Cricetulus griseus: one gene and its partners. The protein of the gene in region 1 binds, or shares a complex with, the protein of each later gene. Links are inferred from orthologs where the notes say so. Each region holds a gene or a part of one and is shown in the gene's direction. Other genes may lie near its edges. The genes, in order: guanine nucleotide-binding protein G(s) subunit alpha isoforms XLas-like, Gpr68, corticotropin-releasing factor receptor 1, Hrh1, Adcy9, Calcr and Calcrl.

What was found.
Region 2: the proteins of guanine nucleotide-binding protein G(s) subunit alpha isoforms XLas-like (region 1) and Gpr68 are in contact, whole or in part, in a cryo-EM structure (PDB 9BHM), measured with the Homo sapiens proteins. The link is inferred for Cricetulus griseus from reciprocal best matches to the Homo sapiens genes GNAS and GPR68. Residues at the interface, in NP_000507.1 of Homo sapiens: Arg38, His41, Phe219, Gly355, Tyr358, Tyr360, Phe376, Cys379, Arg380, Asp381, Ile383, Gln384, Arg385, His387, Leu388, Arg389, Gln390, Tyr391, Glu392, Leu393, Leu394; in NP_001171147.1 of Homo sapiens: Gln49, Asn54, Glu55, Leu56, Leu60, Asp118, Arg119, Ala122, Val123, Ala124, Pro126, Phe127, Arg128, His130, Arg133, Thr134, Ile208, Ala211, Val212, Ser215, His216, Gly217, Thr218, Gln219, Arg222, Gln225, Ile226, Leu229, Val230, Tyr286.
Region 3: the proteins of guanine nucleotide-binding protein G(s) subunit alpha isoforms XLas-like (region 1) and corticotropin-releasing factor receptor 1 are in contact, whole or in part, in a cryo-EM structure (PDB 6P9X), measured with the Homo sapiens proteins. The link is inferred for Cricetulus griseus from reciprocal best matches to the Homo sapiens genes GNAS and CRHR1. Residues at the interface, in NP_000507.1 of Homo sapiens: Gln35, Arg38, Ala39, His41, Val217, Phe219, Phe376, Cys379, Arg380, Asp381, Ile383, Gln384, Arg385, His387, Leu388, Gln390, Tyr391, Glu392, Leu393, Leu394; in NP_004373.2 of Homo sapiens: Arg151, His155, Tyr212, Leu213, Ala216, Ile217, Leu219, Thr220, Tyr221, Asp224, Arg227, Ile290, Ile293, Leu294, Lys297, Leu298, Ala300, Ser301, Lys311, Lys314, Ala315, Val318, Leu319, Leu322, Phe362, Tyr363, Asn367, Ser368, Glu369.
Region 4: the proteins of guanine nucleotide-binding protein G(s) subunit alpha isoforms XLas-like (region 1) and Hrh1 are in contact, whole or in part, in a cryo-EM structure (PDB 9LRB), measured with the Homo sapiens proteins. The link is inferred for Cricetulus griseus from reciprocal best matches to the Homo sapiens genes GNAS and HRH1. Residues at the interface, in NP_000507.1 of Homo sapiens: Gln35, Arg38, Ala39, His41, Lys216, Val217, Asn218, Phe376, Cys379, Arg380, Asp381, Ile383, Gln384, Arg385, His387, Leu388, Gln390, Tyr391, Glu392, Leu393, Leu394; in NP_000852.1 of Homo sapiens: Asp124, Arg125, Ser128, Val129, Gln130, Pro132, Leu133, Arg134, Leu136, Lys137, Arg139, Thr140, Ile213, Ala216, Val217, Gln219, His220, Cys221, His223, Lys412, Ala413, Gln416, Leu417, Cys471, Asn472.
Region 5: the proteins of guanine nucleotide-binding protein G(s) subunit alpha isoforms XLas-like (region 1) and Adcy9 are in contact, whole or in part, in a cryo-EM structure (PDB 9U3P), measured with the Homo sapiens proteins. The link is inferred for Cricetulus griseus from reciprocal best matches to the Homo sapiens genes GNAS and ADCY9. Residues at the interface, in NP_000507.1 of Homo sapiens: Ile207, Glu209, Phe222, Arg228, Arg231, Arg232, Lys233, Trp234, Ile235, Gln236, Phe238, Asn239, Glu268, Leu272, Ser275, Ile276, Asn278, Asn279, Arg280, Trp281; in NP_001107.2 of Homo sapiens: Ala381, Phe382, Arg383, Phe1070, Glu1072, Tyr1075, Glu1076, Glu1080, Cys1081, Arg1083, Val1084, Glu1087, Asp1091, Phe1152, Asn1155, Met1156, Leu1157, Trp1158, Phe1159.
Region 6: the proteins of guanine nucleotide-binding protein G(s) subunit alpha isoforms XLas-like (region 1) and Calcr are in contact, whole or in part, in a cryo-EM structure (PDB 7TYY), measured with the Homo sapiens proteins. The link is inferred for Cricetulus griseus from reciprocal best matches to the Homo sapiens genes GNAS and CALCR. Residues at the interface, in NP_000507.1 of Homo sapiens: Lys34, Gln35, Arg38, Ala39, His41, Val217, Phe219, Tyr358, Phe376, Cys379, Arg380, Asp381, Ile383, Gln384, Arg385, His387, Leu388, Gln390, Tyr391, Glu392, Leu393, Leu394; in NP_001158210.1 of Homo sapiens: Arg180, His184, Glu240, Tyr243, Leu244, Leu247, Ile248, Val249, Val250, Ala251, Val252, Phe253, Glu255, Lys256, Ile319, Val322, Leu323, Lys326, Met327, Glu329, Thr330, Lys340, Lys343, Ala344, Ile347, Leu348, Leu351, Tyr391, Asn395, Asn396.
Region 7: the proteins of guanine nucleotide-binding protein G(s) subunit alpha isoforms XLas-like (region 1) and Calcrl are in contact, whole or in part, in a cryo-EM structure (PDB 6UUN), measured with the Homo sapiens proteins. The link is inferred for Cricetulus griseus from reciprocal best matches to the Homo sapiens genes GNAS and CALCRL. Residues at the interface, in NP_000507.1 of Homo sapiens: Gln35, Arg38, Ala39, His41, Val217, Phe219, Arg356, Tyr358, Phe376, Arg380, Asp381, Ile383, Gln384, Arg385, His387, Leu388, Arg389, Gln390, Tyr391, Glu392, Leu393, Leu394; in NP_001258680.1 of Homo sapiens: Arg173, His177, Tyr236, Leu237, Leu240, Ile241, Val242, Val245, Phe246, Ala247, Lys249, Ile312, Leu316, Lys319, Leu320, Val322, Thr323, Arg336, Ala337, Ile340, Leu341, Phe384, Asn388, Gly389, Glu390.

Annotation. Positions count from the first base shown.
Region 1 is NC_048599.1:4,771,606-4,775,791, reverse strand, and holds the start of guanine nucleotide-binding protein G(s) subunit alpha isoforms XLas-like, read left to right. Parts: upstream 1-1,386; coding exon 1,387-3,739; intron 3,740-3,952; coding exon 3,953-4,186. UniProt on the Homo sapiens protein: Guanine nucleotide-binding proteins (G proteins) function as transducers in numerous signaling pathways controlled by G protein-coupled receptors (GPCRs).
Region 2 is NC_048598.1:104,876,948-104,881,057, forward strand, and holds Gpr68 (ovarian cancer G-protein coupled receptor 1), read left to right. Parts: upstream 1-1,310; 5' UTR 1,311-1,402; coding exon 1,403-2,530; 3' UTR 2,531-3,822; downstream 3,823-4,110. UniProt on the Homo sapiens protein: Proton-sensing G-protein coupled receptor activated by extracellular pH, which is required to monitor pH changes and generate adaptive reactions. The receptor is almost silent at pH 7.8 but fully activated at pH 6.8.
Region 3 is NC_048600.1:117,205,391-117,208,825, forward strand, and holds part of corticotropin-releasing factor receptor 1, read left to right. Parts: intron 1-365; coding exon 366-486; intron 487-820; coding exon 821-974; intron 975-1,201; coding exon 1,202-1,262; intron 1,263-3,435.
Region 4 is NC_048601.1:30,303,985-30,308,220, reverse strand, and holds the start of Hrh1 (histamine H1 receptor), read left to right. Parts: upstream 1-1,436; 5' UTR 1,437-1,468; coding exon 1,469-2,938; 3' UTR 2,939-4,236. UniProt on the Homo sapiens protein: G-protein-coupled receptor for histamine, a biogenic amine that functions as an immune modulator and a neurotransmitter.
Region 5 is NC_048600.1:42,358,211-42,361,710, forward strand, and holds part of Adcy9 (adenylate cyclase type 9), read left to right. Parts: intron 1-2,602; coding exon 2,603-2,811; intron 2,812-3,500. UniProt on the Homo sapiens protein: Adenylyl cyclase that catalyzes the formation of the signaling molecule cAMP in response to activation of G protein-coupled receptors.
Region 6 is NW_023276806.1:221,156,323-221,160,259, forward strand, and holds the end of Calcr (calcitonin receptor), read left to right. Parts: intron 1-1,387; coding exon 1,388-1,654; 3' UTR 1,655-3,437; downstream 3,438-3,937. UniProt on the Homo sapiens protein: G protein-coupled receptor activated by ligand peptides amylin (IAPP), calcitonin (CT/CALCA) and calcitonin gene-related peptide type 1 (CGRP1/CALCA).
Region 7 is NC_048599.1:91,136,944-91,140,443, forward strand, and holds part of Calcrl (calcitonin gene-related peptide type 1 receptor), read left to right. Parts: intron 1-215; 5' UTR 216-251; coding exon 252-302; intron 303-2,268; coding exon 2,269-2,404; intron 2,405-3,500. UniProt on the Homo sapiens protein: G protein-coupled receptor which specificity is determined by its interaction with receptor-activity-modifying proteins (RAMPs). Together with RAMP1, form the receptor complex for calcitonin-gene-related peptides CALCA/CGRP1 and CALCB/CGRP2.

The DNA of each region.
Region 1 (4,186 bases):
AAGCCGCGAGTCTCGGTCGCCGTTACTGCCGCGGCACGGTGGGTCGGTGGGTTAGTGCTTATCGGGTCCTCTAGTTTTTAAGACCACTCTAAATGGGTCACGATCCCACGTATCCCACCCAGTCTCCATTCCCCCTTCCTGAGAAGGCAGAAGCCCGTGCTAGGTGGGGGTCTTCCGGTAAGCCCCGCGCCCCCTCCCCTATCTGCGCCGCCGGCGCCGCAGCGGTAACCGCGTAGGGGTCTTTGCTCGATTTTGCCGCAGTGTACCGCCGAGACCCTTATTTCTACTGCGTCACCATCCACATAAACAAGCCGAAGCCTGATGCGTCACGCTAGGCTATTGCTGAGAGCCCCCCCACCGGAAGTGTAATGGGGAAGGGGCATATTGAAGGGGGATTTACCGAAGCTATCCTTGACAAACAGCAAACAAAAACATTTAAAAAAAAATAATAAAATTACCCCGGAGCATTTAAAAAACAAACTGCGTGTTCATATTTGACAACTCATCGCCCTTCATCCCCTCTCCGCCTTTCCGGTGGGCTCACGACCACCTGTCGCATTTTTATGATCGCTCCTCTACCCCTTCCCGGGCATCCTAAAGGCTCATTTCCCCAACTCAGAGCTGAGAACGGGTAATTGCCCGAGGCTGGGGTCCTCGGATAAGGTGTTTGCCGCAGACTGGGGTAATCTGGGGTGACAAAGTCCTCCTGCAGTCCCTCCTCCCCTCGGGAAGAATCTGATGGGGCGGGAGGGTTTCAGCGCCTGTACTCTGTCAGACCAATGCCCACGTCTTACGTCACGTGGCCCAGCAACGCAGGAGAGCGCGCTCTCTCTCTCTGGCCAGGGGAAAAGCGAGGAGCTCAGACTCAGAAGCAGTCTGGGAGAGGAGAGGAAGGAGGCGAACCTCCCTGCGAGGCCTGCGCTCATCAGCCCCCATACCCAAAGTCGGGAACTGCCGGCACCGGGAGCCAGCTCCCGGAGCCGGCTTAGCACTGAGACCGGCGTCCTCTGGCGGCAGAGAAAGAGTTTTACTAACGATTTTCGAGACGAATCGGCACGCTCTTAGATGCCAAGAAGGCGGGGCCAAAGTTAGCAAAGTAAGAAGAGAGTCCAGAAAAGTCGTGGGAGTGGCTGGCCGACCGCAACTTGAAGGCAGAAGTGTGGCTCCGGAGGCTCCGGGTCTTCCCAGCAAGAAATGAGGTACTTCAGCCACGATCTTGAGTTTTAGCCTCTCAGAATCTATCCTTACAAAGATTGGAAACTGAGGCTGGAGAACTTTCCAGCCAATACTCGAATATTTTAAAAGAAAAAATTTTTTGACCCTAGTTTGGCTGGGTGCTCCGTCTTACGGGGCCCCAAATTTATTTTAAAAAACCGCAACCGTGTTATGGGCATGCGCAGCCGCGTCCACGGCAACAATATGCCAGGACAACACGATATCCCCGGTGAAGTCGGGGAGCAGCCCGAGCAAGAACCTTTGGAGGCCCCAGGGGCAGTTGCCCCCGGTGCTGGGCTTGGCCCAGCCGAAGAAATGGAGGCCGAACCGTCTGCCAATGAGCCCATCCCCGCCGAGAACGGCGCTGAGGGCTATGGACCCCAGGGGGTCTCCGGAACCGACTTTCAGGGCGTCCACCAGGCGGTCGAGGAAGTCGGAGTGGGTGGAGACTATAGCCCCCCACCAGAGGAATCCATGCCATTTGAGACGAAACAGCCCAGCCCCGGAGGTTTCTGGCCCACCCTGGAGCAGCCTGGAAGATCTGGGGCCCAAGCAGGTCTCAAAACCTTCAATCCAGCGCTTTTGGAGCCCGGGACCCCCAGTGGTGCGAGCCCCGCCCAGGGAACCTACAGCCCCCCACCAGAAGAAGCTATGCCATTTGAGTTCAACGAGCCTGCCCAGGAAGCCCATAGCCAGTCGCCCTTGCCAGTCCCAGACCTTGCGCCAGGAGGTCCGGAGGCAGAGGTCCTCAGAGCACTTCCCGCGGAGCCCGGGAACATCAGATTTGCAATCGCTAGCTTGCGAGATGACTACAGCCCTCCACCTGAAGAGTCTGTGCCGTTTGGGCCCGATGGAGAAGAATTTGGGGGCGATAGCCCACCCCCGGGCCTCCCCCGAGTCACCCGACAAGTCGGCTTTGGCGGCGAGTTCCCGACAGCCGCGGTCCCGAGTGCGCTCAGTCTCGCTCCCGCCGAGAACGCGCCTCCCCTCTGGGTCCACAGCGCCATTGACAGACCGTTCAGCGAGGCTATCAGAGCTCCCGCTAACTTCGCCTGCGACAGTCCCCCAATGGAGATCTCCAGACCCCCGCTGGAGATTGGCAGAGCCTCCTCTAGGGTCGGCGACGACACAACTGTCAATATGGACGGCCCCCCAATCGCAAGTGTTGGCCCGCCCATCGAAGTCTCCGGAGCACAAGATAAGAGCGAGCGCGGCGCAGAGAGACCCCCAGTTGAGCGAGAAGCAGCCGACATGGAAGGAAGCCCAACCACCGCTGCTGCGGTGGAAGGAAAAGTCCCTTCTCCGGAGAGAAGAGACGGATCCTTCACCCAGCCAGAAGCCATGGATGACAAGCCAGCCTCAGCTGCCCAGACCGTCGCTACCGAACAAGATGCCGCCTCCGCGGCTGCCAGCGGCGGCTCTCCTCCAGCCCCAGCAACACCCGCGGATCTCCAAACCGATCCCGAAGAAGTCGGAGCCACCCCAGCTGTCCGCGCGGAGCCTGACGGAGGAGCAGCCCCGGTCATCGCAGCAGCAGCCACCCCTGCCGAGTCTGAAGGTGGAGGAGATCCAGCCGCCGCGGAGGAGCCAGCCTCCGAGGCAGTCCCTGCCGCCAAGGCCGAGCCTGCCTCCGGGGCAGCCCCCGTCACCCAGGTGGAGCCCGCAGCGGCGGAAGTCTCTGCTAAGGCAGAGCCTGCCGCCCGGGCAGCCCCTGTCACCCCTCCGGAGCCCGCTCCCCGGCCAATCCCCACTGCCAGAGCCCATCCGGCTGCCGGGGCAGTCCCTGGCGCCCCAGCGATGCCAGCCTCCGCTCGGGCAACTGCCGCTAGGGCAGCCTATGCAGGTCCTCTGGTCTGGGGAGCCAGGTCACTCTCGGCTACTCCTGCCGCCCGGGCATGCCTCCCGGCCCGTGCAGCTGCCGCCGCCCGGGCAGCCTCTGCTGCCCGGGCAGTCGCTGCGGGCCACCCAATCTCTGTCGCCCGGTCAATGTCTGCCTCCCGGGCATACCCTCCCGCCCCGAGCAGGGCCCATCTTAGACCCCCCAGCCCCGAGATCCAGGTTGCTGACCCGCCTACTCCGCGGCCTGCTCCGAGGCCGAGCGCCTGGCCAGACAAGTATGAACGTGGCCGAAGCTGCTGCAGGTACGAGGAGGTATCATCCGTCATCTGCGAGATTGACTCCTCCAGCGATGAGTCGGAAGAAGGGGCCAACGGCTGCTTCCAGTACCTTCTGCGACGAAACCGCCGCCCCGGCCAGACCCGGAGCCACACGGTCGGATGCAACCCAATCCGCAACTTCTTCACCAGAACCTTTGGAAGCTGCTTCGGAGCCCCCGAGAGAGCCCGTTCCCTCAGCCCCGGGAAGGCCAAGGATCCTTTTGAAGAGAGGCGCAAACAGATGCGCAAAGAGGCCATTGAGATGCGAGAGCAGAAACGCGCAGATAAGAAACGCAGCAAGGCCATCGACAAGCAACTGGAGGAGGAGAAGATGGATTACATGTGCACACACCGCCTGCTGCTTCTAGGTAATGCGGCATCTTCTGCCCCTGGGCAGTAGGGCCGCCCTGGGCACCCGGGGAGGAGGTGGTAGGGCCTTCCGGTGGGGCTTGGGCCTTGACCACGGGAGGAGGGGGTCTGGAAACCCTGATAGAAGTTCCACGGAGGGACCCCAACTCTGCCCTGGGGGTGGGAGAGGGGATTTTTTGAGGGTTCGGGTGGCCGAAGTATATACCCTCCAGGGAGAAAAGTGGTGCCGAGCGACACTGAGGGTCGTTACCGGCCGGAGGCCAGCGCCAGCGCCAGCGATCGTAGGCTGGACAGGCGGGGGCGTGAGGTGAGCCCAGAACTGCTGGGGAGGGCCCTTCGGGGCTCCCCCGGCTTAATTGTTCGTGACCGCGGTGGGCTAGGGCCATCGGGGTGCGCGCCCCCGCCTCGCCTGGCACGGCTGCTTCGACTCAGACAGCTTGTTGTTG
Region 2 (4,110 bases), on another chromosome or scaffold:
ACTGTGCCCAAAACAACTTCTTCAAGGAATAAAATGCAAAAAAGGCTTCAAAATGTCAATTGAGCAGGGCAGATGGAACTATCACCCTGGCACTAAGGAGACTACAGGAGTAGACAAAGATGTTGCAAAAAACAAACAAACAAATAATAAAGAGGAAGAAAAGAAAAATACCAATGTAGCTAGCCAGGTGAGATTTTTCCAGCTGAGAGAGAAGGGTGCAATCAATAGAACAGTTCAAGCCTTTACTGTTTTGATATACTATCAAGTACATGGGCCACAAAACATTGCATTCTATCTACCTTTAGACATTATCGTGGTCTGGAGTTCCTTTTGTTAAATTCTGAATGCATAGTCCTCAGGAGGCAGAGGCAGGTAGATCTCTGTAAGTCGAGGCTAGCCTGATCTACAGAGTGAGTTCCAGGACAGCCCAGGCTACATGGTGAGACCCTGTTTCAAAGACAAGACATACAAGCAAAAACTCTGAATGCAGTCACCTCACTAATGTGTTGAAGAAGTGAGCATCTCAGAAGCCCCCTTTTGCCCCTGATACACACTGCAGCCGCCCATCCACCTTCTGATGTGGTCCTGACCAGAAAGGGAAGGTGTTTTTAATCCCCAAATTCCAGAGAAGAAAACTGAGGCTCAGAAAGAGTCACAAACTCAGGCAAGTGGCTGGCCCTGGCTTGACCTTTGCTTCTTTTGACCCCCAGTCCAGAACTTTGCCCAAGATCCACTGGGGAGATGAGAGAGGCAACACTTGCTAAGGAGTAGCAGGAACTTGGGCAGGGCCCTGTGATGAGAAACTGTCCATTGTTTCCTGCCACGCACAGAAGGATGTGGACCAGGGTGTGTCTCTTCTGATGCTGTATGGAGAGCTCCCTGGAGCAGCTGTGGCTTCAGTACTGGGTCTAGTTACTTTAGTCCTATAATGTTATCAGACTGTTATTGGTATGTAAGATGATGGAGTCCTCACACTGTGGGCAAGTCGGAAATAACTCTTGCCTCGAGTCTCCTTTGGAGACTCCCAGGCTCAATTATGCTCCTAGGACCTCCCCTTTACCTCCCTTGCTTGCACCAAGGGACAAGAAAAATAAATAAGTGAATGGGATAAATAAGGGAAGCCAGAGACGGGGCACCATAAGCCACACCCCAGTATTTGGGTATGTCTCCTTCAGTTGCACCGGAGCTGCTTGGGTGGTACAGCTTCTAAATGAATACAGCCCACAGAACAGTGCCTGGCATAAGTAGGTGTTACATAGATGTTAGCTGTGATTATTTAAAGCTTCTTCTGCCTTGACTTGTAGGGGTTCGCCTGCCACCAATGAGGAGCAGACCTTGATGGAATTGAGTTACCGCCTATAAACAAGATGGCAGTCGAGAGATTGACTCCATCTCCACGCCCATGAGGGGTGAGGCCCCTTCTGGCCCAAAGATGGGGAACATCACTACAGACAACTCCTCACAAACCTGCCCCATCGACCACACCATCCACCAGACACTGGCCCCAGTGGTGTATGTGACCGTGCTGGTGTTGGGCTTCCCAGCCAATTGCCTGTCCCTTTACTTCGGCTACCTGCAGATCAAGGCCCGGAATGAACTGGGAGTGTACCTGTGTAACCTGACCATTGCGGATCTGTTCTACATCTGTTCGCTCCCCTTCTGGCTGCAGTATGTACTCCAGCACGACAACTGGTCTTACGGTGACCTATCCTGCCAGGTGTGTGGCATCCTCCTCTATGAGAACATCTACATCAGCGTGGGCTTCCTCTGCTGCATCTCCATCGACCGCTACCTGGCTGTGGCCCACCCCTTCCGCTTCCACCAGTTCCGAACCCTGAAGGCAGCCGTGGGTGTCAGTGTGCTCATCTGGGCCAAGGAGCTGCTGACCAGCATCTACTTCCTCAAGCACAAGGAGGTCATCGAGGACGAGGACCGGCACCGAGTCTGCTTTGAGCATTACCCGATCCAGTCCTGGCAGCGTAGCATCAATTACTACCGCTTCCTGGTGGGCTTCCTCTTCCCCATCTGCCTGCTGCTGGCCTCCTACCAGGGCATCCTGCGGGCTGTGCGCCGCAGCCACGGCACACAGAAGAGCCGCAAGGACCAGATTCAGCGGCTGGTGCTGAGCACGGTGGTCATCTTCCTGGCTTGCTTCCTGCCCTACCACGTGCTGCTGCTGGTGCGCAGCCTCTGGGAGGCCAGCTGTGAGTTTGCCAAGAGCGTCTTCAACATCTACCACTTCTCCCTCCTCCTCACCAGCTTCAACTGTGTAGCTGACCCGGTGCTGTACTGCTTCGTCAGTGAGACCACTCACAGGGACCTAGCCCGTCTCCGAGGAGCCTGCCTGGCCTTCCTTACCTGCTCCAGGACAAGCAGGGCCAGGGAGGCCTACCCTCTGGGTGCCCCTGAGGCTTCTGGGAAAAGTGGGGCCCAGGGCGAGGAGCCTGAATTGTTAACCAAGCTCCACTCGGCCTTCCAGACCCCTAACTCACTGGGAGTGGGAGGATCGCCCACAGTTGGGTTGGCCTAGCTTGAGTCATCCGTATGTGAGGCTAGGTTAGGCCTGAGCTTTCACCAACGGGCCTTGTGGTCTGGAGCTTGTGCGGTGGCTGTCTCCCACATTGCCATGTACAGGTGCCTCTTTCCTCAGGCAGGAAGGACCTCTCGGTCTTGGGCCACAGCTAGGTCCCCCCACCCCCTGGAAGCCTACTCTGTGCTGAACCTGGGCACTGCTGAGTGTGTGAATGAGCCCTGTCTTCTCCCATATTCTCTGATGCTGCCTGAGCTACAGGTGGGAGAGAGTCAGAATTGTCACTCCCAGGACGTTTTCAACCGCCAAGCCTTCCGGTGCCACTGTTGCCACACATGATTCCAGTCCAAATGTGCTGTGGTCTTGTGTGACACAGGAAGCTGGTTAAGGTGAAGAATGGGGGTGTGGTGCGGTACTGGTATGGAGGGGGCAGGAACAACAGCAGAGTGACAGCCCCAGGACCAGTCACGTCCCACTTTTACAGGGCTGGTCGAACCCAAACCCGAAGGGCTGATGGCAAACAAACCCCAGGGCTCTCTGGGGAGATCCCAGGGGCCCTCCAAAATGTCATCCTAAAGCTCAAATAAGAGGACTTGGGCCTGAAGCTGTGTCCCTAACCAAGTTCCTGAATAGGGCTTTTCTTAATTAGTTTTTTGTTTCCATCTGACCAGAGTGCTAGCTAGATCTGAGCGCCTGACGGAAGAGAGAGAAAGAGAGAGAGAGAGAGAGAGAGAGAGAGAGAGAGAGAGAGAGAGAGAATATAAAAATGGCAGGGTGTCCATGGCGATTGTGGCCAAGACACTGATACCAGAGTCATGCGACTACTGCCAGGAACTCCTATCCTTCACTCCACACGCTATAGACCATCCAGCAGCCTTTGAGGGGAATGTGACAGTTTCCCAGAGTTCCTAGGTACAACCAAACTAACAAAACACACATCATCATGTCTCTTGACCACAGGTTTGGCCTCAAGCTCCACTCTGATATAGTTCTTGTAGGAGAGTTTGTCAGAGATGGCTGCACGCCAGAAAGACCCATACCTACCCCAGCCTAGGACCTTGTGGGGCAATGGTGATAGCTGAGTGTCCCACACCTCTTCATTCTGCAGTATCCCCGCCCCCTCCTTCCCCTCTCCATTTTGACCTGAAATTCTGGATCTCACTGGCTTGGACTGGAACAAGCTGAGTCTGGCTCCTCTTACAATGGAGAGCTGTATTTTTGTATTGTCATCTCTATTATGCCAAGTATCCCTGTGTTGGACTGTGAGGTGGATTTATGTAGTGATTCAGTCTGCAAATAAAACAAAGTAACCAATCACAGCAGAGTTTGTGCAGTCCTTCTGTGCAGTGACTCTACCGGCACCAAGGAAATCCAGAGTGTCCTTGAAAGACCCCAAATAGTCAGGAAGATCCAGGGGTTGACGTTAGGGAAAACTCAGGACAAGTTGGGGACTGCTCTTGAGCTCCCATCAAGACCAGGCCATCAAGTGCCGTAGGGTCTTCTCTTCTGCCTTGTGACAAGAGTTATGTACCAGTGCAGCACATTGTCAAAAATCTACCCTGGATGCATCTGTGCAGAGT
Region 3 (3,435 bases), on another chromosome or scaffold:
ACATCCCTGGCTCAAGGTCAAATGTGCATGGCCAAAGTGATGGGAAAAAGCTGGGAGTGGGTGGGGCCAGGAGCTGAAAGTTGAGGGGGTCTTACTGTTAGAGGTCTCTCCTTTTTGCCAGTCCCCTGCCTTTCATTCCTGGGGTGTGCAGAACAAAGCGGGAATCTCTGACAACACCAGGCTCCACCAGCAGTGGATGTCTTAGTGGCCCCAGATAGGAATGGACCTGTGGAGCTCAGGGCAACCTATCAGCCCCACTCACACCAAGATGTAGTCTTTCCATCTTGCATCTGGGCTGGAATGATGCTGGTACCTGCCCTCATCCTGCCCTTCTCTCTGCCACCTGCCCTCTGCTGCTGCCCCAGGAGCATCCGGTGCCTGAGAAACATCATCCACTGGAACCTCATCTCGGCTTTCATCCTGCGCAATGCCACGTGGTTTGTGGTCCAGCTCACCATGAGCCCCGAGGTCCACCAGAGCAATGTGGTGCGTCCCAGCTAGGGAGACAGAAAAGGCCAAGCCTGGGTCAAAGGAGCTAGAGTGGGGCTACCCTGTAGAAGGGCTGGAGAAATGGCTCAGCAGTTAAGAGAACTGGCTGCTCTTCCGGAGGATCTGGGTTCAATTCTCAGCACCCACATGGCAGCTCACTACCGTCTGTAACTCCAGTCCCAGGGGATCTGACACCCTCACAGCAGTGCACATAAAGTTTAAAGGGGGCAGGCCTGAGTACCCACAGAACAAGAGGAGGACCCCAAGGAACCTGAGGGTGGGGCACTATAATTGACCACCCCCAAGCTCATGGTCATCTCTGGTTGGGCAGGCATGGTGCAGGTTGGTGACAGCTGCCTACAACTACTTCCATGTCACCAACTTCTTCTGGATGTTTGGCGAAGGCTGCTACCTGCACACGGCCATCGTGCTCACATACTCCACTGACCGCCTACGCAAGTGGATGTTCATCTGTATTGGCTGGGGTGAGCTGAGCCAGCCCCTCCCCTGCATCTCCTCACCGAGGAGGAGACGTGGGCTGGCCGGGTGGGGAGGGAGGTGTGTGCACCCTTCTTAGGGATGAGAATAGTGGGATCACCATGAAGGAAGCGTCAGAGCTCAACCCCCAGAAATCCCTGCTCTACTATATGTCCTGGACTGCCCTGGGGTCTTCCATCAAAGGGTTCAGTGACAGCCCCCCTCTCTCTCTTAGGTGTACCTTTCCCCATCATTGTGGCATGGGCCATTGGGAAGCTGTACTACGACAATGAAAAGTAAGTCACTTTGTGAGGTCAGAGCCTTCAGCACACTCCCCGGGGGGCTTTGGCCATTGTCTGTCCTGTAAAGACAGCGGCTTCTGCATCAACAGAGGCAGAGCTGAACACTGGCCTAAATTCAAGGGTCCTTCCCAGTGCTCTGCCAAAGGCGGAGCTAGGCAGCCAGGGTCACCTGTCTGGAGTTTTAAGAAGAGCAAAACCAGAATTCAGGCATCCCAGGTTGTGAATTGTGCTATCACTAAGTAGCTATGTGACCTAGGGGCTGTCGCAGCAGGCCTTAGTTCCCTCATCTGTAAAATGGGTATCTTCATTCTAGCTACTGCCTCAAAGCTGTAGGGAAGATGGAGTGCAGCCCAGTATTCTAAGCACATAGAATAGAACCTAGAGCCCAGTAAATGCTACCCAAGTGTTTATTGCCCAGCAAGGTGTGTTTTACAATAAGATTCTATGGCTTTAATGGGAACTAGTCCAGGTGGTTTCAAAGACTCTCCCAGCTTCTCTCTGAAGCCTTGGGTTGTTTGAAAGGACACTAGTGCATTCCTAGTCAACCCTGAAGTCACAGCTTGGGGTGGGGGGCATCCCAGCTGCCCCTTACAAGAATCCAATGGGAAGATCTAGGAAGTTCTGTACCTCAGAGCTCTATGCTGTGGGAACAGGGTGCTTCTAGTGTGAAGCTAAGATTGAGAACTTCACAGAAAGACAGAGAGAAGGTGGGAGGAGCCAGGCAAGGCAGAAGCCAGTACCTGTGCCCCATCAGCATTCCCAGATCCCAGCTGCCTGACTTGGTGACTTTGGGTTCACAGTGGCAGTCCCTCCCTTCCTCTCACTGGGCTGCACTAGGAGTCTGGAAGTGTGTCGTCCACATTTGTGAAAGTAGTTCCTTCTGCCTCCGGCTGGAGTGTTTGCACAGCAGCAGAGTAGGTAGGAGGCTGCAGGGATCCAGTTCCTAAGTGGGTGTGGAGTGTTCCTGGGTATCCTCTTGGAAATTCCTGAGTGGGGTTGCCTGTGCTTTGTAGGATGTGAAAGTGTGAGTACAGGAGATGGGTGGGGGAGGGGGAAACTTGAGTGAGAGAAGAAAGAGAGGGGCTGGGAAAGCCCCGTGGCCCCCCTTTCCACCCTGGAGCAGAAAGGGTACCACTAAAAAGCAAGTTAGACGTGAGCAGCCCTGAAGCGCCATCTGGTGGACAGATGCAGGCAGTGCAGCAGAAGGATTCTGGGTGTGTGAACATGGGAAGAGAAGCCCCAGGGCCCCAGCTTGGAGCCCACAAACGGTGGCTTTAAACAAACCTGTTAGAGACAGAGGTCATATCTTCAAACTTCACATTCTCGTTTGAAGAAACATCCATCTCAAAGCCCATGTGTCCATGGCGACACAGGACTTCCAATTATCTACTCCCCGGAGCTTGCTGAAGGGCAGCTCAGGAGACTGCAAAGCAACCCTAGTTCTTGTCATATCATACATGTTAGCTGTGAAATCTCCCCTGCACAGGCTGCTCTCCGATGGAGTCCGACAGAAGTTGCCAGCTGTTAGGAACCACCTGGGTGGCAGGGCAGTGAACGTGTACACAGCCACTACTAGAGTCCCTGAGTGGGTGCCAGAGAAAGCAGTGCTAGGCCAGGATCCAGAAAGTTTCTGGCTTGCTGTTTTGAGAATTCTTTCCCTGAGAAACACAAACAAGCAGCTACTCCTTCCTTAGGGGTCCAACGACAAACTCAGATGCAGTTCACTGAAGTCCCCCTGGGGGAGCCAGTAAATTTACTGGGATTGCTTACAGGACGTAGGCAAAGGGTTATTTATAGAAGCATAGGTGACCTCAAAGTAGCCAGGCCACTAAAAAGTCTCCCCACAGCATGGGTATGACGTCCCTATAGCTACATAAATGGAGTCTCACCCCAAGTTACCTCTGTAATGCCAGCCCCTCTTAAGACATGAGGCTTTGTGCAGTCAGGGCAGAATTATATACAGCTAGCCTAGAGGCATAGGAGGCAATGGCTGGAATCTCAGGCAACCCCTCTCTCCCTACTTCCCCTTTCTATGAGGGAATGTCAACAGTTGGTTCCATCCTGAGGGTCTCTTACAAATAGTCAAAACTGCGTGGATGAGGGTGATGGCCTCTGGGAGGCCTTCTCTTCACAGAGTTTACTCCAATTTCATTTTCCACAGCAGAGG
Region 4 (4,236 bases), on another chromosome or scaffold:
CACAGGTTCAACACACAGGTCTAGAGTCTGTCAAGTTGACAGTTGATACTATCACATTCATTTATTGGTTTGTGGAACTTGTTTTTACTTTGTTTTGGGTGCTAAGGATGGAAGTGAGGCTTCCCTGCATGCTAAGCAGCTTTTGTTCCTATCTTTGCATAAAAGACATTCCACAAATATGAAGGAGAAAGGGAGGTGGGGAATAGAACACGCATCAGCCAGGCATGGTACACCCTTTAATCTCAGCACTCAAAGGATAGAGACAGAAAGGTTAAGAGTTCAAGGTAATCTTCAGCTACCTAGGGACTTGAGGCCAGCCTAGGCTAACTGAGACCCTTTTTAAAATTATACTAAATTGTATGCAGTAAGCAAATTAAAATTTGTATTAATTTGCTTATTATAATACATAAAAATAAGCAAATTAGTATTTTGAAGCCAGATATGGTGGGACTTATACCTGCAATTCAGCACTGGTGAAGCAGAAGCAGGGTGATTGCTGCAAGTTCAAGGCCAGCTTGGTCTGCATAGAGAGTTCCATGCCATTCATGCCTGTACCAAGATCTTGTCTCCAAAACACAGACAAAAATAAACAAACAAATAAGCAAACAAACATCTTGTTTGTGATGCTGGGCTGGAAGCCAGGGCCTTGATGATGCTAACCACCCCTCTATCCTTGAGCTATATCCACAGTGCAAAGGACTTTCCTGGGCCTATGCTAGATTCAGTCCACATCTCTGTACCTCTTCTGTCTCCCCTGAATCTCATCCAATTAGGGATGCTCATAGCTACAAGTCAGTTCTCCCTGGGAAGTGACCTAAGCAAAGAAAGAATTTAGCTACTAGACTTTATTGTTCACCAAGATTTCAGGGTCGCTTCAGCAGCCGAGTAACAACTGAACCCTAAATTGGAGCCTCTGAGGTTTTCTTCACAATTCCCTGACCGCCTCCAAACTACTGACATAATCCAAACACCTGTCTTCACTTCCTTCTGGGAAGAGGATAGAAGGGAAAGGGTGCTTTTCATAGTTTGGCATCTGTCATAGAGAGAGAGTGCTTTGTGAGCCCCACTGCCTCTTTCTGGCCACAATTTTGTCTCAGGACCAGCAACCAGCAAAAAGGACACAGATGACAAGACAAAGCTCAGGTCAATCAGGACATGTTTGAAATAAGACCTGCACAAGGTACCGATTGCCCTGTTCTGACTCACCTCTGGCATGCAAACTCCACGAGATCAGAGGGTTTTGTCCAGTTTATCCACTGCTATCTCTGATACCCAGAATGATGCCAGGAATCATGGGATGCGAGGGCAGAAGGAATGCATGAGTGGACGCGTTGGGTGGGTGCCCACTGCCCCCAGAAGCTTCAATCCCAGTCTGAGCAGCATGATGCTCTCTTAGGTGATCTCTGACTTTGATCATGTGTCTTTTCTCCCAGGGTGGAAGCCATCGCTGGAGGCTGCCCTTGCGCCAATGAGCCTTCCCAACGTCTCCTCAACCTTCGAAGACAAGATGTGTGAGGGGAACAGAACCGCCATGGCCAGCCCTCAGCTGCTGCCCCTAGTGGTGGTTCTAAGTAGCATCTCCCTGGTCACAGTGGGTCTCAACCTGCTGGTACTGTATGCCGTGCACAGTGAACGCAAGCTGCACACCGTGGGCAACCTGTACATTGTCAGCCTGTCCGTAGCAGACCTGATTGTAGGTGCAGTCGTCATGCCCATGAATATCCTTTATCTCATCATGGCCAAGTGGTCCCTGGGCCGCCCCCTTTGCCTCTTTTGGCTCTCCATGGATTATGTGGCCAGCACAGCATCCATCTTCAGCGTCTTTATCCTGTGTATTGATCGATACCGATCCGTCCAGCACCCCCTCCGGTACCTGAGGTATCGAACCAAGACCCGTGCATCAACCACCATCCTGGGGGCCTGGTTTCTTTCCTTCCTGTGGGTCATACCCATTCTTGGCTGGCATCACTTCATGTCCCCGGCCTCAGAGCTTCGGGAAGACAAGTGTGAGACAGACTTCTACAATGTCACTTGGTTCAAGATCATGACCGCCATCATCAACTTCTACCTTCCCACTTTGCTCATGTTGTGGTTCTACGTAAAGATCTACAAGGCCGTGCGGCAACACTGTCAGCACCGCCAGCTCACCAACAGCTCCCTCCCTTCCTTCTTAGAAATCAAGCTGAAGTCGGAGGATGTCAAGGAGGATACCAAGAAACCTGGGAAAGAGTCTCCCTGGGGTGTTTTGAAAAGGCCATCAAGAGACACTAGTGGAGAACTGGAGCAGAAGTCAACATCCAAAGACCCCAAAAACCCGAACTCTCCAACTGTCTTCAGCCAAGAGGAAGATAGGGAAACAGTCTCACGTCACTGTTTCCATCTTGATGTCACACGGACACACACTGTGGCTGAGGGAGGTGGCAGGGGCTCAGAGGCCAATGACCAGGTCCTGAGCCAGCCCAAAATGGATGAGCAGAGCCTGAATACTTGCCGGCGGATCAGTGAAACATCGGAGGACCAGACCTTGGTGGATCGACAGTCCTTCTCCCGGACCACCGACTCCGACACGAGCACAGAGCCAGGGCTGGGCAAAGACAAACTGAGAAGCGGGTCTAACAGTGGCCTAGATTACATCAAGGTCACCTGGAAGAGGCTCCGCTCACATTCCAGGCAGTATGTGTCTGGGCTGCACTTGAACCGAGAGCGGAAGGCAGCCAAGCAGTTAGGTTTCATCATGGCGGCCTTCATCCTCTGCTGGATTCCCTATTTTATTTTCTTCATGGTCATCGCCTTTTGCAAAAGCTGCTGCAGTGAACCCGTGCACATGTTCACTATCTGGCTGGGCTACATCAACTCCACATTGAACCCACTCATCTACCCTCTGTGCAATGAGAACTTCAAAAAGACATTCAAGAAAATTCTGCACATTCGCTCCTAAGGGCATAGCAAGAGGATGCTACATAGTGGATGGACGGCGTCTGATGTCCAAGAAGGAACCAGAGGAAGAAAGCATGGGCGTCACTAGGCCCCTGGGTGTTGGGAAATGGAATCTAAGTTCTTGGGCTGAGCAGTATGGAGGTGTTCCCAGGGACCGTCAGAAGAAGAGCAGGTGGCGGCCGTTGGCAGAAAGATTGTACTTTGGGTAGAAAGCAGAGTATTTGGAAGAAGAGACCTGGCAGAGTACACCTGGACCTCAGGGACTGCAGGAGTCTTGGGTGCTCATTGGAAGTCTGGCACTCTGGATGTGAGTTCCCTAGTAACTGAAGTAGGAATGTGTGGCTAGGGCTCTTCTGGAGGGTTAGCCTGGACTCTGAGACTCCTCATGCAAGAGTTGTGTGGTTGTCCCCTTCCAGAGAGGCATGGCAGCTATTCCACTGCAACCACCACTTCCCAGAACACAGCCCTTCTGAGCCCTTCCTAGCTTTCTCCAGAGCCGCCTGCCCCACCCTGGAACCTGCCTTACCTGTGTCTCAGAGTTCCTAGGAAATTAGACAGCTTGCAAGTCCATCATTCTCAACTCCTGATTCCTTTTGGTTCTTAAAACGGCAACAACAACACAGTGACAAAAACTGCCCTCAAAAGTCAAGAAGAAGAGGAAGTGGTTTTTGAATGACTGCATCTTAAAAAGCAAAGCAAAAGGAAGGCGAGAGAGCCTTGTTTCTTGGATGCTCCACCAGGGGGCTCTCATTCAGGGCGACAGAAAGCATGAGCAGGTCCTGTCTGTGGAGTGACAAACTGAGAAACAGGCAGAGGAGATGAGGTTCCAGAGATCGTTTGACACTCATGTGATAACCTTAGAAGAGAACATTGTGTGGTCCCAGCTCCTTGCTACCGGTTTTCTCAAAAAAAAAAAAAAAAAAAAAAAGGGAAAAAATGCATCCTGTCAAGTACTCATGGTGTTCCCCAAGAGGTGACAGTTTCCCAAGCAGCTAACATGAAGCACATTTATATCCACAGAGGGTGACCCTCAGAGGGACAATGTGGTTCCTATCTGTGAGACTGTGATTTCTAATCACACATGCTAAGTGAATCCTTTCGAAGCATGGGAGCATCCAGTTTTATTTATGCCACAGTCTGGTTGTGACTTACATTTCAAAATCTGTTAAACCTCGATGTGTAAATTGCAAGTAGGAACCCCTGTAAAAGCTGGTCTTCTGTGTCTGTGTTCCTGTTTGCATGATCTGTCCAAATGAGATGCTTTTGCTTACCTTAAACAGGACATTTGGAAGGGCAGTG
Region 5 (3,500 bases), on another chromosome or scaffold:
GTATGTTCTTACTTCAACCTCACAACAGAGTTGCTGTTCTCATGGGACACTGTTGGTTTGTGCTTTACCAAGTAACAAGAAAATGAAAGCTGGTGTTGACTTCCCACAACCAGAATGCCCCGTGTTCGAACTGTATGTGGATTTATCTTTGCCAGGGAGAAACCCAAGGCTCTTTATGCAGACTGTTTCCTCCATAGCTGGTGTTTCTGGTTTTCTAATGGCTGTACCCAGCCCTGAAAGGATGGTCTGGCTTCTTGAGTGACACTTCTCTCCCCATAGTGCTGTCACTTCCAACTCTCTGAGATGGGACCAGAAAATGAGGAGGTCTGTACTTACATCCAGAATGTGGGGTTGATATCTCCTCTGCCACACCACCATCTTAGCACTCTTGAGTTAAGGGATTAACTTTACTTTCTGCTCACACATCATTTTCTCCAAGAAGCAGTCCTTGACACCCCCTGGGTTTTACTTCCCTGTGTCTTCTTTCTTCTTCATGTGCACCATCCCATATTAGAGTCCCATCTGATCTCTAAACCTAACACTTAGCTCTCTGTTTCAATGCTATCTAAATCCCAGCATATCCCACACACCACATATATTCAGCAGGCATGCTTGAAAAGAATGAATGGAAGAACCCAGAGCCTGGTTGGAGCTCTAGATAGCAGATCACAGCTCTCTTTCCCTGGACCCCCAACCTGACTTGAGTTTCCTAGGGCTAAAAGTGCACCATCACCGGACCCCAGGACTAAGAGGAGTTTCATTCAGATTTCACTTGCTTATTAGGCAGATCTGCATGTCAATTATGTCCAGGCCATGACCCAGGGAGACCATGATGTGCAAGATATGACTAATTTTTACTTTGTATGGTTGGAATTGCTGCCCTGTCAATCCCCCCTCCACCCACCCCCCACCCCACCCCCCGCCCTGGACAGTGAATGCCGTTAAACATTCAAACACAAATACTGCAGGTATTTGCCTAAAGCAAGAAGTATTGAGCCTTAGCACCCCAGACCAGGAGTTGGGAAACCTTGTCTGTCCTGAGTCTTCTCTGCCCAAGCCCTGGCTACTCCCCAGAATGCTAATTAGAGTCCCAGAGAGAGCAATGGCATACATCTGCCTCTGCGGGGGAGGTCATTGTAGCAGCCTCACTTCCAAGATCTTAGGTCTATTTAGGGAACCTCAGAAGTTAGGACCAGACCGGTGGCCATCTTCAGAGCCTCTGAATTCCATGGGTAGGTATTAGTACTCTATCGCTGTGCCCACTCTGCTCAGGTGAGTCCAGGCTTGACATTGGGGCTGACCAGCACTCTCATTTCCCTAGGCCAAGCAAGTCCTGACTTTTCCTATCCTCTCCGCTCCTGGGGTCTATCCAAGGCCGAGGAACTGAGCCAGTTTGACCTGAAAGTATCTTGCATTAAATTAAGGGCTGGTCAGAGGCCTTCCCTCCTACATACCTCCAGCCCTTCATCCCTGACCCCTGCTGCCAAGGCTGAATGCAAAGCCCTAGCAACAGTGTTCTCATCCTTTCTCCAAAGCCTCTGGCCACACATTCTCTCTTCATCCTAAGAAGGCCTGGGGTTTGGGGAGTCAGCTTATCTGACTCTCATTCCCTGTGTTACCTGGGGATAGCCACTCTTGGCCTCCATCTACAGACAAGGAGCAGTAGTGCCTCTTCCTGTATGCGTGTGGAGAGCTCTGACTGAGACGGTGCCTCTCTGAAGGGCCTCTAGGGGCCTGGAACTGGTCATGTTTTCTACACATCATATGCCAGCAGGTTCCTCCTCCTAAATTCCCTGACAACATGCATGTGCTTCTTTAGTAAACTTTGTGTACTGCCCTGTTTCCTGTGCCCGTTATTCCATGATCAGGCTGCCAGTTTCCTTCAGGCATTGTTTCATGTCCATCCTGCCCCCAGCCAGCACAGAGCAGCACCCACACAGCATTATCTTTTTTTTTAAAGGATTGGTTCATTTATTATTTCTTAATGTGTTTGCTTTCATGTGCGAATGTACATGTACTACATGCATGCCTGGTACCCATGGAGGTCAGAAGAGAGTATTGGATCCCCAGGATTAGACTTATGGATAGTTTTGAACAACCATCTGTGTGCTGGAAATCAAACCCAGGTCCTCTATAAGAACAACAAATACTCTTAATTGCTGAGCCTTCACTCCAGCTTTGAAGGCTCTCTTGATAAAGGGTCTATGCTCCCAGTGCACACATGGAAGCTTTCCTTGGCTGCTGCTGCTCTAATGTCTGCCCGTCTTACCATGATGCCAGCTTTCATATCCATCCCTTCACTGGACACTTCCATCACCCGCTGCCTTTACAGATGTGTCCTCCTGGACTTAAGACAGTAACTCCTCTTTCAGAGTGACTATGTAAATGGTTTGAGTCTGTTGACTTTCAGTCTGTTGCTGTGTGACCCTAGTCAAATCTCTTAACTTCTCTTTGCCTCTTCTCTAAATTCGGCAGTAATGAGGCGATGATCCACATGGAGCATGCCCCAGCCTGTGCCTGGTCAGGAGCATTCCCTCACACTGTACCTCCTGGCCATCTGTGGACAGCTGCATTCATCCCTGTCCTCTCCTGCTCTAAACAGGTCATCAAGAATTCTCCTGTGAAGACTTTTGCCAGCGCCACCTTCAGTTCCCTCCTGGACGTGTTTCTGTCCACCACGGTGTTCCTGATCCTCTCCATCACCTGCTTCCTAAAATATGCAGCCACCGCCACTCCTCCCCCACCGGCTGCCCTGGCTGTCTTTGGTGCAGACCTGCTGCTGGAGGTGCTGTCCCTAGTAGTGTCCATCAGGTATGCCCCGATTGAAGGAGTGGCTCTCCAATGTTTGGCTTTTAGCTCCCTCTTCTGGCTCCACAGTTGATGGCAAAACTGATTAAGCAACGCAGGGGCCAGGAGTCTGAAGAAAGCAGAACTTCCCTTCCTCTCAGCCCATTCCATCCTCCTCGCAGGCACTGACCTCCACTCCACCCAGGTGGGACTCTAGAGAGGTCAGCCCCCTGTGCAGCCCAGCTGATGCCAGATGGGCCCTGGATCTCCTAAATTAGAGATGAAAAGGAGAAGTGAGAAATTAAGAAAGAAGAAAGGGAGGAAGAAGTACAAAGGGCAGGCAGCAGCAGAGCCGAAGTCTCTGCTAACCTAGGAGCCAGGCCAGCCCTGTTGAGGAAGTTGTGTCAAATGTCTGAGCTTGGAATAGGCCGCACTTGCTTAGATATGCCACCAAACACCAAACTTGCAAGCAACAAGAAAAACAGATAACTTACACTTTATAAAGGTTTTTAAAAGTTTTATTAAAAAGAATACCATTGAAGCCTGGAGTATGGTGGCACACACCTATAACCCTAGCACTTGGGAGATGGAATCAGGAGGATCAGGAATTCAAAGCCATCTTGGCTGCTTATCAAGTTCAAGGCTACCTGGGCTACACAAGATCTGTCTCAAAACAAACAAAAAACCCTAAGAGAGAAAGAGAGAACAGCTAA
Region 6 (3,937 bases), on another chromosome or scaffold:
GAAATCCTGTAATAATAATTTTAAATATTAAAATTGACTTCAAACCTTTTGGCCTCCTGTTGGACTGGATAATCCAGTATATGTGGACATTCTAGTGGAATTGTAAAGGGACAGGTAAGGCAAAATCAAGATTTTTTTTTTAATCCCTGTGGGGCACTTATGCCAACTAACAATACATTTGTAGCCATCTGCAATGGATGCCTCTAAACTCAAGGGTTTTGCTGTAAGAGCAACCTTGGTGTTTAAGAGATGTTGAATCTATGGAAACTATTGGTTTCCTTTATCTACAGACACTGCATCGCAAAGATAATGAATTGGCATCTTTCCTAGTTTCTCAAGAGGACATTGGTAGTTCCTAGATTATAAACCTGACATCAAGGGGCTCATCTACAATCCAAAAAAAGTCAGGCTTCACTTGGAACTCAGGTTCTACCACATTGCAGCTCCCTGACTGTCCACAAATAGCATAGTCTAAGCTGTCCCATCTGTAAGTGGACACAACAGTGGTACCCTTGCAAGGAGGCAGCTTTGAGGATTAAATAAATTAATGCAAATCAAGTGATTATAATATGGCCTGTGGCAATTAGTCAGGAAGTGTTTACTAAATGCTTTTGCCATCCCTTGTCCCTGTATAACTTTTACCAAGGCAAAATCCAGCTGCATGGCACACCCCAACCCTTGGCGCTTCAAGGTTTTGTCTCTCTGTCTGTTTAAAATATAATTGAATATAAAATGGTACACCCAAACAGGTATATTCACAGTTTGTTTGAAAAGTCCATTATTTCAATGATCCAATTGCCAAATTATTCCAATTGTTTTTCTCCTAAAAGAGACTGAAGTCTTACTCTTGAAAGGTTTTCGGCTGCCTTAGTCAGAATTTCCTGTGGATAGTCAGAATTTTCTATGGATAGTCAGAATTTTCTATGGAACACCTCATTTGGAGCCTTGTTTGGCAAGGGTAAATCCACAACATGGGTCTATTATCATAAAATTTGGAACTATGTTGTCACTTATGGATATATTTTCATGATCTACATGAGTTCAGATTTGGATAAAATCACGTCTTAGCATGAATGGCAGCAGGTAAAATTTTTCCTAACATGTCTGCTACATTGAGACCAATCAACCTTCCCTCGCAGGCTGTAAGAGCTAAGACAGAAAGCTTTGCTCAAAAATGGCAAATAGCTTACCCGTTGTTACCCAGACAAGTGACTCACTTCTTCGATTAGCGTACCGTTATTCTACGGTGGTATAGTTCATAGTCACGGTAATAAACTCAGTTCTTAGAGCAGATCTACAGCTTAACCTCCTTTAGCCTCTGATAAGCCCCAAGAGTCAAGCATAGAAGCTGATGGTCACTGAAAACAAGCTCTATCTCCTCTTACAGGTCCAGGTTGCCCTGAAGCGCCAGTGGGCTAAGCTGAAGATCCGGTGGAGCCAGCGCTGGGGAAGGCGCCGCCGCCGACGCAACAACAACCGCGTGGTTGCGGCTCCTCGCGCTTTGGCCTTCGCTGAGACAGGTGGCCTCCCCATTTACATCTGCCATCAGGAACCGAGGAATGCTCCCATTAACAACAATCAAGGCGAAGAGGGTGTGGAAATGATCCCCATGAATGTCATCCAGCAAGACCCATCCGTCCCCCAGGAAGACTAATCTGCTTGAACGTGAAGCTGCCCCAAGAATTGTGATCCACCGAGCCTTCATTCCTGGGAGAAAGATAGACCATGCATTTCAAGTGACCCCCATCCTCCCAAGTGCTGAGCATCTCATTCGTGAAGAATTATTAAGTGAATTTGTCCATAGTGATTTTGAAGAGAGTTATTCTTGGTACTATTGCTTTGGGAGACAGTCTAGGAATAGAGTCTCTCACTGCAACTTGTCAACTCCATCATTCATCTAGGACTGAGGTGTTGAAGGCAAAGTATCCAAAAATGCCACTAAATTTACCTAGTTCAGATAAGGGTGCTCCTTGTTAATCTTGAGCCATTTGTACCTTTGAAAAATTAAAGTCACTCTCAATATTTTTAATTGTAACACTAGACTTTGAATTAGACTATTTCTGTATTTGGCTATGGATCTGGTTTTTAATTTTTTTAATTTTAATCAATTCCTATATTACATGTTTTAACATCCATACAATGTAAACTGCACAAATAACATGACCTCTGAGAGATGATGCAGTTTTTAAACCGACAAGCAGATAAGTTAAAAGAGATGATGTGTTGAATAGGAAGATATGATACTTTGACTGAAAAGACATTTAGAGTGGGTTTACTGGAACTGTATCACAGTCAGATTGCTTTTGGATAATCCTGTCCACCAGGAAGACCCAAATGCTGTAAGGAATTGATCTGAATGCTGTATTGACTTGGTCACTGACATTTATAAATTGGGAGGTCACCAAGAATCTATCTCCAAATTTTTCACTAAACTGCCAAAATTGTAATTTTCCATGAAAGAGGACACTCTTCAAAGAATTTTTGACTTTCCTAAAGTACACGATTTATAAGGCAAATCACTCCAAGGTTTATAAAGCAGATTACCTCTTGCCCTCGGGTGCTATCTAGCAGTAAGAAAGAGATTTGTTTACGACTGGTAATTAAAAGACTCCATACAAGTCCATTAACTTCCTCCTCCCACCCGGCTTCAAAGCTTAACAAGATCTCTGTGTTTTCCAGGAAGACTCAGTGCAGCTAATTACAAATCAGTTTTTAGTTGACCTCTTGTTTCCTGCTATTAGCAAAAGAGAGGAGGAAAACACAGCATAAAGAGTTCTTTTAACCACGTATTAATTCATCTTAAAATACAAACAGAGCTTCTCATCAAAACCCAGACTTACATTTCTGCATCTCTCTTTACTCCCCAGTATAAGATCTTCAAAGATCCATGAATAAACCAATAACCATTACTGATTTCTGAATCTGCAACAGCAGAGTTATCATTATCTAATTTGTATGCTAAATAAGGAGTTTCATTGAAACCCCCCCAATCTCTGCCTGTCTGTGACACCTTCTATCACTGCCTATCAGAAGTGATTTGCTTGTGTAAAGATAAAACTAAGTAGTTCTGGTTACACATTTAGTGCACCCAGAGAAAACCATATTTCCCTAGGGACCATGGACTTTGGATACTGAAAGTGTGTCTCCTTTACCAAATGTAAGGGAAGAACTGAATCGAAGGGTATTTTGTTCCAATCACAGTGTTACATGGCTATGTTCCTATTTTTTGTTTACAAACATCAAAAACAGTGTATTTCAGGCAGCTCTAGTATAAATGTGATAATGTATTGCTAAAATATTTGAGATGTTGTGCTGATGTAGTAGCAGCTGCTGAAATCAAACTGACTTATCATAGTATTGCATGCGATACCTAAATTGTGTGAACCGCTTTTGCTATGTACATGTATAAATTAATACAGAGCATATTGAAAAGGCAATGATATGTATTTGCATATTTTTTCTAGAGAAATATATTTTCATTTTTCATCTTTCATCCATTCATCTTGTTTCTGCTCATTCCATGCTTCCTTCATTTCAACCTTATACTACCAATATCCCACCTTGTTTGTCTTGTAGGAGCCAGAAAGATCTAAAAGCATAGGTTTCGTGGATCACAAGATCCTTGTCTTTATTAGTGTAACCACTTTCAATCTAACCTAGTGACACAGCCCTCATAACTCTTGATAATATGAAACCCTCCATAACTGCCAGTCTGTTATGAGATTTATTTGAGGATTACAGCATGCAAATCCAGGACAAGGAAGTAAAAAATCATTTTGATATGTGTTAGTTTCCCTTGCTCTGGAGCCAGACTTGATCTGTCCAATATCACCTCAGGTCACTAGAATTGGTATAATTACAAGTTTCTAATATCATTTGGAAGAAAGACTGAGACTTAATAAAAGGTAACCAATTAAATATCATTAGGATGCATAAG
Region 7 (3,500 bases), about 86 Mb from region 1:
CGAATTATACACAAAAATACATATGCAAAATGTTTTCTTACTTGTAAGTCAAATTAAACTAGAATATATTTCACTAAGCTCTGTTATAATGTTTTCAATATTTGTAGGACTACTAATTAAATTCTTAGATAGTGTAGAATTATAACAGATATTTCCTTTTGAAACCTATATTGATTTCATGAATTTGAATTTTATTTATTTCACTTTTATTATAGTTTGAACATACAGCACATTTTATTTGGACTCTAAAGATGGAGAAAAAGCATATACTATATTTTATGTTGCTCTTCCTCTTTAATATGGTAAGTATTCATCCCACTTTATGAGTTACTATTATGCTTTACTTACAATATACACCAAATTGTTAAAAGTTAATAAACAAGTTAAAGTAATTATTAGATGAGTAAGTTGATTTCATTTTTATATCCAAGTAACACGGCAATAATCTACTTCTTTTCATTCAGTATTTTTTTATACTTTGAATTTCTATAACTAATATGGACTGTTGAGTCCTTGAAGGAGGTTGGAAAATCAATGGATTCAAATGGGCAAATCTCGTGTTAAAGTGGTGAAGTTAGAAAAACATTGGGGTGATACTTTATAATAGTACAGTTACACACAGCACATAAAGTATTTTTAGAGAGACACACAAATTCAGTTATTTGTAAGAAAAAAACATATTCTAGTCTTTAAATTTTTTTTGTTTTGGTGGGGGGGGGTTTGAGACAGGGCCACATGTAAAATGTTTTTTGTTCATTGATTGTCATGTATTGATTGAAAGAAAATCTAGGAGACATGTACTGTATTTTGTATTCATTTACTCATTCATTCATCAATTCACTCACTCAAATAGATCTTGATGCTGAATTTGGGGCAAGTGCATCTCCATGAGAATGTGCACATCCTTGCACATCTCTACATATGTGTGTTATTGCTGTGAAGCCAGAAGTGAAGTCAGAGGGTTACCAAACTCAAAAGAGCTACATGCTTCCTGGTTTCACTTCTTATTTGTAGTCGTGTGTCTCTTCGTCTTGTTCTCTGCATCAGACTAAAGCAGTCAGTGCTGCTCATCTTTCTTTATATGAATGGGAAACCCAGAGACATAATCTCATCTAATTCTGTGCCAGCAAAGAACTTTCCTGTGGTGTTTCCAAGCAAAGCACTCAAAAAAAAAATTCAAACAAAGGAACTGAAAACTTAAATGAGCAAAAAAGCAATATTACATTTCTGTGAGTACACACATTGGAAAACATCCTCAAGCCTAGAAGTAGTCTAGTGTCTGCGGTTATGAGATGTTATCTTGGGTAACTGACTAGACTTCAAAGGACAGAACTGTTTCTTCAACTAATACCCTCAGTTAGGTGTGCCAGCAAGCTACATGGGCCAACCAGAGTTCCCTGCAGGCAACACTGGAACATTTTACCAATCAGCTTAGTGTAATATAAGGAGCTGTGACCCTTTCCCTTGAATTCATCCATGGATGGTATATAAATATGTTAGAAACTATTATTACTTTGCTTAATTTCTACAAAGCTTTTCAGAAAAATGGTTTTATCTATTTTGATTTTCTAACATTGTCTTGGGATAGGATGTAGCTCAATCTATAGTGCTTGCTTAGCTTACACAAGTCACTGGGTTCAACCTCAGCTTGACAAATAAGATCAAATGACTTAAAAATAGTCATGATGGTCTAGGATTTCACTTATTACTTCTCAGAGTAACTTTTCTATTAAGAAACTCAAGCCTACCAGAAAATAACAGTCAATATCAGTGTTAATCAGGTAATGTGATGCCATGCAGTGAGGAAATTATTTTTTTGACATTTCAAATGTACAAAGTTTGCTTATTTTCCATGTGATGGGTACTCCCTGATATCCGGATGCCATTTTCTACTGTTTTATGAGATGAAAGGGAGTCTTGGTAGTAGTGATGAATACCTGGCCAACACTCACAGAGCAAGTGACAAAACTGGGGGACTAAATATGGCTGTTTGCATTTCAAAACAAGTATTTTAGGCTGTGCTGTAGTCAGTCAACTACCACAGGCTTTGGAGAGTTGGAAGCTCCTGTCAGTGCTGTCACTGACAGCACCTGAAGGCTGTTTGAAACTGGACACAGAGTTTAGACTACAGAACGTGGTGAACACCACACACTGGGGTTTTCCTCAGGAGAGTCCTCTAGCGATCAAGCACCTCACTGTTGTTGATGTTTTCCACCAGGTCTCTAACTAAGATTCCACCATTCTAAAGCCACTGTTTTACTCCCTTAGACTCTTGGCACAGCAGAGTCAGAAGAAGAAGAAGGTTTTAACCAAACAGATCTTGGAGTCACTAGAAACAAGATCATGACGGCTCAATATGAATGTTACCAAAAGATTATGCAAGATCCTATTCAACAGGCAGAAGGTAGCGACTACTAATTCTAGATATACTTTACAAATATTTAAAAGAACTATGTGGGTTCTTTAAATACATTAATTAAAAATTAATTAGTTGCTTATTTTCATTATGTATTTGTGAAGTGTATTTTATGGCATGATTCAACTCTTTATAGTAAAATTTAACAAAATATTTTATATGCTAAATTTTCCAGAATTGTTCTTTAGAAGGTATAAAAATACTTATATATTAATATTAAAACAAGATAAGTCAATAATCACTGACCTTTAGTTCATGTAATTCATAAATTTATCTTTTTTAAAGAAACACCTTGCTTGATAAAACTTGTATGCAGGTTTTTTTTTTTAATAATACACATGTGTTCATAGTAAATTTGGTAGCAAAGCTATCAAAGTCTAAATGCTCTATTTTCCTTAAGAAAACCCTTTGTCATTGGTGCCATTCATGGAGGACCTTCCAAGCACCTGACCTTTGCCTTGATTCAGGACATAAAAGATGTGTCACCAAAGTAGAGTTTCCATACGTATCCAAACTCAAAAGAACTTCCTGGTTCAATCTGGGAAGTCCAAGGCAGACTTAGTTTCAAATATAGGGTACAAAACAGAGTGGACCAAAGGCCAATGTGGACCCTTTGGATAATTCTGTTTTTTTTTTTTTCAGAGAAAAGAAAGATTTCAAAATATTTAGAAAAAACATTTATAATGTACTTGTATTTGGTCAAATAAGAAAGTAAAATGTATTTGCACTTAAAAATGACCCTGCTCTTAAAAATGAGAAAACCTTTTTCACATTTAACACCTTTAAGCTTACTTTAAATGACCATACATTTACTAATATTCCAAGAACTATTTATTTACTGGAGTTGCACCAGTATTTTTGTTGTAGCAGTCAGAAAAGTATGTTTTGAAATTTACAAAACAATGACAAATTACTTGATTTAGGGCATCAATAAAATTGAAGTATAAAGTAATTAAAACATTTGTCAACGGACATCATTTTATTCTATATCATTGCTTTAAAACTATTGAATTAACCCCTTGCAGATGATCTGGAGAAAGGTCTAAATACTAAAAGTTAATGCTGAACATTAGGAAAATCCTTT